2 linked regions of the Rattus norvegicus genome follow. The protein of the gene in region 1 interacts with the protein of each later gene in a biochemical or structural test. Links are inferred from orthologs where the notes say so. Each region holds a gene or a part of one and is shown in the gene's direction. Other genes may lie near its edges.

Region 1 (4,540 bases):
AAGCCCAGATGGCCTCTGGGCCTAAGATCCTCCTGACTTAGCCTCCCGAGTGCTAGACTACAAGCATGTACTACCATGCCTCGTTTTTCCTGCAGGGAAGCAATGGAATCAGATAAGCCTGCACTTGGACCCTATGTTCCCTTGTCTCATGGGTTACTTCCAGAACTCAGGTCTTGAACTTTCAATTCCCCTGCCTTAGTCTACTGAGTAATGGGATTACAGATTATGAAACAGTAAGTCTGGCTTTACCTTAATTTGCCCCTTAAATGGTTTCTGTAAGTATTTTTGTTTTGTTTCATTTTGAGACATGGTCTCACTAAGTAGTTCTGGCTATACCATAATTCCCTATGCATAAGATGCTGGATGATTTAACTCAGAAATCCACCCAATTAAAGGTGTGTACCACCATGCAATTTAAAGTATTCTAAGACAGGGTCTCTCACACTGTAGCACAGGCTACCCTCCCAACTAATAGCAATCCTCCTGCCTCAGTCTCCTGGCTGTTGGGATTACAAATAACCAGCTGAATCCTTTAACTTTTAAATTTCCTCACCTGCCTAGGTTCTACTTACACTTTTCTCCTGTTGAGATTCAAGTATTAAAACCAGAACGATTAGGTGTAGTAATCCTTCTGGTTTTAATCGGCCAAAAGTCTGGTCACGTGGTCTGAAATTCCAACGGAAGAAAACCTCAAAAGCCTGACCAATACACTTCCCTTTCCCCTTAATCATTTGGGGGTTTGTTTTGTTTTTTCCAGACCGGTTCTCAAGTAGCCCAGACTGGCTTGGTATTTGCTATGTATTTTTTGCTTCGTTTTTTTTTTTTTTTTTTTTTTTGATTCTTTTTTTTCCGGAGCTGGGAACTGAACCCAGGCCCTTGCGCTTCCTAGGCAAGCGCTCTACCACTGAGCTAAATCCCCAACCCCCTGGGGCTGGTTTTGAACTCCCGATCCTACCTCTATTTCCAAAACACAGGGAAGCGGTGTGGGTCACCACTCCCTGCCCCCTTGCATTTTAAACTTTTATTCTGCTCTTTAAAAAACATGAGTGGTTGAACTACCTAAATTATCTACCGTTGAATTCTAGCCACGTTTGTCTACTTTTTATTCTGCTCTTTGAAAAACATGAGTGGTTGAACTACCTAAATTATCTACCGTTGAAACTCTAGCCATGTTTGTCTCCTATTTTTAGTTTCTGCATCTTCTCGTCTTCCACTAACGCTCATGCGGCCGGAGGAACTTGGCGCTGCCCTCCTCCCCTCTCCTGCAGCTACCGGGCGGTTCATCTACCCAGGACCTCCACGGAGCCAGGATTTTCTCTACACCCGGCATCCACCGCTCCCGCACCAATAAAGCTTTATCGACAGAGCGGAAGCTAGGTGTCGCTCTCTCACCTCCTTCGGTCGGGAAACGGAAGCAGGCCATAGCCGGCCGGAACCCGCCTCTCGAGAGCGGAAGTGCGGCCGGAAACTGGCCATAGAAGCGCGTGGCTAGAGCGACCCTGCGGGGAGGTGGCAGGAAAGGCTGGGAGCCGCTGCCGGAGGTGACGGAGCGGCCGCCCCGCCCCGCGCGCTGGAAGACGAGGCTTCCAGGTAGCGGTCGGTCGCAGTCTGTCCCAGGGTACGACCCGGCCTTGGGCACAGATTCGCGGACCCGGGGCTGCCTCTTTAAGGGAGGGGGTGGAGCCACGAGTGAGGATCGAAAAGGTGAGGTCACGTGGTTGAGGACACGTGCAAGACACGAGTTTAGAGCTGGGAGTTCGTCGTCGTTGGGGTAGACACCATGTGCCACCTCTTCCCTCCCTTCCTCATCTGTCCTGGAACTCAATGGGATGCACGTGGTGGGGCTTGGGACTGCCCCGATGGAGGAGAGGGTGGGCGTGGCAGCCAGGATGTGGCCGACTTTAAGGAACCCTAGAGTTGGCTTTTAGACTTCTTGACCTAATTGCACACTGCAGAAGTGACGTGGTACCTCTTGAGTGCAGTTCCCCACCCTTGAGCTGACCACCCTCACGTGGTTCAGGGACCTTTAGTTTTACGTTCCTCTTTCCTTGCAGCTCCAGAAAACTTGAGGCCAGAGCCCCGCACCAGGGTGCAGCCATGAGTGCGGAGGTGAAGGTGACAGGGCAGAACCAGGAGCAATTTCTGCTCCTTGCCAAGTCGGCTAAGGGGGCAGCACTGGCCACACTCATCCACCAGGTGCTGGAGGCCCCTGGTGTCTACGTGTTTGGGGAACTGCTGGATATGCCTAATGTTAGAGAGGTGTGTTGCTTGCCTGGGTAATTCAAAAAGAACCTCGGGACCAAAGTTTCCTTGAGAATGGTGGGCTCATTTTGTAACCAATAGCCACTCAGGTGAACAGGGTATTGATAATTAGATGTCAGCTTGGAAAAGTAAGCAGTCAAAAAAAGGTCTTCATTTCCTGTATCTCTTACAGAAAAGGGGTCTGTAAACTTACTGCTCCCTTCCTCTGTACCCACAATTTCAGTCAGGGTTTCACTGCGTAGTCCTGGCTGCACTAAACTGGTAATCGTCATCTGGGCTGGCCTTGAATGCTTGAGAATCTTCTTGACTATGCCTCATGCAGAAGTTAAAAAAAAAATTTTTTTTTTATTTAAAAATGTGGAACGCTTTATAAATTTGAGGTCATCTTTGCCCAGGGACCATGCTAATCTTCTCTGGATCGTTCTAGTTTTAGTATATGTGCTGCTGAAGGAAACACAGATTTTAAATTTTTAAACAAAAGAACATGTCATACACAATACCACTCATAAATGCCAGCTCGTCCACCAGTATGATATCTTTACTGTTGTTATTGATGTTGTTGTTTTTCGAGACAGGGTTTCTCTGTGTACTATAACTTGTGTTCTGGAACTCTCTGTGTGTTCAACTCAGAGATCCACCTCCGGAGTGCTGGGATTGAAGATTTGTGCCTATTGATACCTCTTAATAATCCTGTCACCATCATTTGGGAGGTAGAAACAGGTGGATCTCTGAGTTAGAGGCCAGCTTGGTCTACAGACTTGAGTTCCAGGACAGCCCCTGTTACACAGAGAAACCGTGTCTTAAAAACAAAACAACAAATCTTGTCACCTGGATCAGAAAAACCTAATTAAGTCTCAGTTTTCCCTTAAAAAATGGTGATGAGAACCTTGAAACAGCTGATAGAGTGGTTGCCTAGCATTTGTGAGGCCTTGGCTTCCATTTCAGAACTTGGGATGCTAAGGTAGGGCACCACAAATTTTAGACCAGCCTCTGCAACTTAGACCCCATCTCAAAAAAGGAGTAGGGATGTACTCAGTGAAAGAGCCCTTGTTTGTCGTATGCATGGCTCAGTATAGGTACAGTTCTCACAACTCCAATGAGGGAAAAACCGAAAAAAACACTACCTGGGCTGGAGAGATGGCTCAGCGGTTAAGAGCACTGACTGCTCTTCCAGAGGTCCTGAGTTCAATTTCCATCAACCACAAGGTGGCTCACAACCATCTGTAATGGGGTCTGATGCCCTCTTCTGGTGTGTCTGAAGACAGCTACAGTGTATACATATACATAAAGTAAATGATAATAAGAAAAAAAGCACTTCCCTTCACAGTTACAGTAGTAACTGTGGGAAAGTCTGGAGTCTCCTAAAATCAGAGAGAATGGGCATTTGAGTTATGCCATGGTAAATCCCACCCCCACCCCTACCCCACCCCCAGGTAGATGGTGAAGATGCTGTCTTCCCTAAGACAGTGGCAAACTGCTATGAACACAGTGACGAGAACATTCAGGGAAATGGCTGAGTCAAGAACGTTAAAAGTGGGGTTGGGAATTTAGCTCAGTGGTAGAGCGCTTGCCTAGGAAGCGCAAGGCCCTGGGTTCGGTCCCCAGCTCCGGAAAAAAAAAAAAAAAGAAAAAAAAAAAGAAAAAAAGAACGTTAAAAGTATAGAGCAGATGGATGGCCAATCCTGGGACACCAGCCTGTCATGAGAGTGACAGTAGTGTGTGGCTAGACTGAGCCAGGCATTAGAAGACCCGTGGTGGAATCAGAGGATAGAATGTTTTTTGGGACTGCTGTTTCACAAGAAACTGGCTTTTGTCCCTGATTTTCTCTACAGTGAACTAAAGTATGTCCTTAAGATGAGGTAGAAGGAGCATTTCCAGCTTGTGTTCCAGTGAAAGAGATCGGATAAATGGATAAAACAATACAAGTCAGCAATTTATCAGTAACTTACTTCGAAGGCCACAGCTCTGGGTCCTTGGAGGCTAGCAGATGCTGGGTCTATAGCCTTGTTAAAACATTGTTGGGGCTGGGGATTTAGCTCAGTGGTAGAGCGCTTACCTAGGAAGCGCAAGGCCCTGGGTTCGGTCCCCAGCTCCGAAAAAAAGAACCAAAAAAAAAAAAAAAAAAAAAAAAAAAAAAACATTGTTAGGTGAGAACCAGCAGAGTGACATGCCAGGATAAGTGGCAGTGACAGGAGGGAAGGTGCTGTGGATGACGTAAGACCTCGCTATGAGGACATTCTGAAGCCATGGCCACAAACCCTCTGGGGGGCGGGGGGGC
Region 2 (4,337 bases), on another chromosome or scaffold:
AAAGGGAATACACATATATAGCCCAAAGGTACTTGTGTATATGTGTGTGTGTCCATTAAATCTGTACTATATCTTAGGGATTTGTGGGACAAGGTTTTGTAGCAATCCCAACTGTCTTTCAACTCCATAGGTTCAGGTGCATAGGCTCCTGATCCTCCAGCCTCTACTTCTGGAGTGCTGGTATTACGGTGATCCCCATCAAGCCCAGCCACTTATTTTTTCATAAGGGTAATGTGCCAAAAGCAGTCCACTATAATCATAAGCTGTGCAGTTGAGTTTCCTCACAAACGCAGACATTAGCACACCTAGATGCCAGTGACTCATCCTGGGAGGATCATATTCTTTTTTTTTTTTTTTTAGGAGCTGGGGACCGAACCCAGGGCCTTGTGCTTGCTAGGCAAGTGCTCTACCACTGAGCTAAATCCCCAACCCCTTAGGATCATATTCTTGATTGCAGTATATTCTCTCCCAGGTAAATTATCTGAAGAACCAGCTTGTCTCCATTTCAGACTTAAAAGCCATCTCATGGTAAAGACAGATTAGATTCCTACCTGTTTATCATTAAACCTCTCTTCCAGACAAACTAGGTTCCTCCTTGTTTATGATTAAACCTCTCTTTCTCAAGCATTGGACTATGCTTCACCTGTAACCCTAAGTACAAAAGGTTCTGCACTACCAGTTCCAGGAATAGAAATCATGCCTTTGCTTCAAGAAGTGGTTTATAGCCACTTTGCAGCCTTACCTGCTGCATAGTTTACATGACCACCTATGTCTACCTGTTGTGATTACCTTGTTTTGCCAGCCGCCTAATTTGCCCACCAATTCCCCCTTTGGATCCCTTTACCCCTGAGTTATAAAAGCCTTGTCTTCCTTGCATCTAGAGCTGACCTATCGAATTCCACTTTAGGGGAAGGCAGTCCGTGTACACGAATGAAAAAGCTCGCTTTCATTAATTGCTTAATTTGGCCATTATGGTTTTCTTCGCATCTTTGGGATTAATATTCCGTGCATGTGTTGGTCGGTTTTTGTTTTGTTTTTCTTCAGTATTGGACTATAGTGAATTGGAAATAACTCTACATAGGTAGTTTAAGAGATGCCTTAAAGAACTAAGCGGAGAACGATAATAATCCGATCCGGAACCTGGCTAAAACGTCGTCGTTTGACCTGCCGGGCCCTTACTGAAATTGCACAAAGTACACGCCTTCAAGTTCTTCTTCAGCCAATCCCAGGTCGGAGCGTGAGAGCCAGTGTCTCTCGGGAGACCTGGGCTGTCCTCAAACCAGAGGAGAGGAGTCTTGTGTCACTCAACCTCGAGGGCGGAGCTAATTCCGGCTCCCATATCCGACGCTCTGGCCCACTAAGATGCTACTCTATGGCATCTAGCTTCCCCTCTGCCGGCTTCTGGAGGACCACACTCGTTTCCTTTTTGGCAGCGAGAGGTCCCGCAGCCGTGGCTGAGCTGGAAGAAAGATGGCGGCTGCCGTGCGACAGGATTTGGCCCAGCTCATGAATTCAAGCGGCTCTCACAAAGATCTGGCGGGCAAGTGAGTATTTCCTAGGAGTATAGAGGTAGGAAGGAAGACACAAATTTACCTTCCTAGAGGCGACGGGCGCTCTGGGGTGTGAGGCTCGAGTTAGGCCTGACTCAGGGGGGCGGGCCTGAAGTCGGCTGTGGCGGTAAATGCTGGGAGCAGCAGAAAATTGTGGGGATCGTGTGCTGGGGTCCTGACCGTCCTACGACCCGGGGTGACTGCCAGCTTCTTAAGTCCTTGATAACGCCCTCTGCGGGTTCCTTTGGCTTCTGGAAGCGTGGTAAGAAAGATGACGGCTCCCCAGGCGGTGGGCGCCTTCCTTAGTGTCTGTTCGGCGAGCCCAACGCACCGAGTTTGACTTCTGTTTGCTGCCGCCCCCGCCCTCGCCTGGTTGGAGGTAAATTTGTATTTTGGACTTTGATACAGAGTTTTGTTTTTGTTTTGAAGAGATGGCTTTCCAGGATTGACAGGGGAGGAGAAAGAATAGACGCTGTCATGTGGTCCAGAGCTTTTCACTTCATAGCGTGTGTGGGTCCTTATGTTCTGGATACTCTCTGTCACCAACTCTGTAGACGAGAACACAGGCAGAATGCCCTTGGGCTCGGGATGTCTAGACAGTAATATTTCCAGGGGCTGCTTAGGAATTTTGTGGAAACCTTAGGGTGCTTACTTAGATCCACTCCAGGTCAAAAATTGAGACATGTGTCAGTCCCTCAAACAATTGTTGAACAGCTTTAGTCTTCTTTGTGTAGATTTCACAGTTTTGCTTTCTAGTGAACGTATGCCTTCAATTGAGCCTAACATTTACACTTCACAACTGAGAGCACGTTGATCTAATTAATGAAATACTCTTGCTCAAACCTGCACGTTGAAATGGTGTATGTGTGGTGCGGCCGCTGTGCCTGGCTATTCTGTGTAGAAAATACAATCTACTTTATTAGTGGGAAATTTAATTTATAACCTGGGCTTAACTACCTTATTCTTTGTTCTTCTACTTTAAAAAATGGTAGGATAATCGTGAGACTTAGTCTTACCTGATTTCAAAATGAGCATGTGTCTCTATACTGATTGCACTTAAATAACTGAGCACAGCCCCTGGTGTATGGCCAGTGTCATAAAGTTATTATTAAGCAGTCAGTAAGTACGTAGGACTTATTCCGGGAGTTGGGAATAGTTCACTTATATTGAAAGAGCATATATCATTGTTCATTGTTTCGCTTTTTTTTTTCACATGTATTAATACTTTTATAGAGTTGGATAGAAGTAAAACTAGCTTATGTATTCCCTTATATTTCCTTTGATTTTTTTTTCCTCTTTATTACAGAAAATGTAAGTTTATTAGTTATCAACTAAGATAGAGCTGTTAGAACTTGAAAGAATTCTGGAACTTCGGTTACTATTGACCTCTTGAGTTCAGAATTGGAGATGAACAGTAGCATGACTCCGATAGGGTGTTTCTTTTCTCTGTTGCAGCTCCATAAACACACAATTAGTAGTTCCTGCCTGGTTCAGTTATTCAGATTAATGTGGCTGGCCACATGCACAGAGATACCTGGCGGTTGGCTGGGTCTTGCATTCTCACTCCACCCTTTAGCTTTGGCTTTCTTCAGCGACTTCCTTCATCAGTGTTCTAACCGTGAGGCTAGAAATGCAACGGTGAGGGGAAAGGGAATGGAACGGACCACTAACTCTTTAGAAGCCAAGTGCTATTGCACGGGAAGATGAATGGAGGGTGGGGTGCCAGTCTACCACGTGGGTTTTTTTAAGAGTGAATGAAATAACGTGCTTGATGAGTGATAGTCCATGCAGTGTTAGCTGCCCCGCCATATTGCTTTCTGTCTTAAGATTTAGCTGATTTTATTTATGTGTATGAGTGCGGCATGTGCGCAGGTGCCCATGGATGTTCAAAGAGGAAGTGCGATCCCTTCCCACCAGCTACAGGTGGTGGTGAGCTACCTGAGGCGGGTGTGGGGAATTGAACTCAGGTCCTCTGGACAAGCAGCCAGCACTCTTTTAACCATTGAGCCATCTCCAGCCTTCCCTTTAGGTAATTACCCAGTACTATCTGGGTAAGAATTGTCAGAATGTTTACTCTCAACAACACAGTTCTGCAAGCCACATACTTTATGACGTACATATGTCAAAGTCATCTGCTCCTTTAAGGCTTTTATCTTGGGACCTGAGAAACAAAGGCTTCCACTTTAACAAATAATGGAGTATAAGATGTCTAACGCTGATAATATGCTCATACAGTGTGCTGTTCAAGAAATGGAATACTTGGTTACGGTTGCTGGGCATAACTTCTATTTGAACCCAAGTTTTTATCAGAAGCTCACTTTTTAAAAAAAATTATTCATTCATTCATTTATTCATTTTTACATTCCAGATTTTATTCTCCTCCCCGTCTACTTTCCAACTGTTTCAACATCCCATTGCCCCCCCCCCCAGGGGTTCCACTCCTCGAGAATGTCCCCACCAGACCTCTAAACTCCCTCAAAAAGCTCACTTTTAACCAACTAGACTATATTGTTTTTCTTGTTAAAAACTCAATTAGACATGCTTTCTGATGTTATCGAAGTTATAAGAAACGAATCATATAAAAAGCTTTTTGTTGTGGTTGTTGCAGATATAGGCCTCTTTATATATAATATATGTATAATAATAAATAAAAAATAGATACATCTCTTTTACACCTCTTAAAACGGTTTAGAAGAGGGGACTGGAGCAGTAGCTTAGCTTAAGAGCGCTTAGGTTCCGTTCCCAGCATTCACATGATGGCTCACAACCATTTGTAATTCCAGTTCC

The links.
Region 2: the proteins of Cops7a (region 1) and Cops4 form a complex in vitro, tested with the Homo sapiens proteins (2 studies listed by BioGRID). The link is inferred for Rattus norvegicus from reciprocal best matches to the Homo sapiens genes COPS7A and COPS4.

What each region holds. Positions count from the first base shown.
Region 1 is NC_086022.1:159,457,216-159,461,755, reverse strand, and holds the start of Cops7a (COP9 signalosome complex subunit 7a), read left to right. Parts: upstream 1-1,582; 5' UTR 1,583-1,704; intron 1,705-1,725; exon of another isoform or gene 1,726-1,824; coding exon of another isoform or gene 1,825-1,838; intron 1,839-2,054; coding exon of another isoform or gene 2,055-2,097; coding exon 2,098-2,259; intron 2,260-2,613; exon of another isoform or gene 2,614-2,719; intron 2,720-4,540.
Region 2 is NC_086032.1:9,410,203-9,414,539, reverse strand, and holds the start of Cops4 (COP9 signalosome complex subunit 4), read left to right. Parts: upstream 1-1,432; 5' UTR 1,433-1,470; coding exon 1,471-1,544; intron 1,545-4,337. UniProt on the Homo sapiens protein: Component of the COP9 signalosome complex (CSN), a complex involved in various cellular and developmental processes.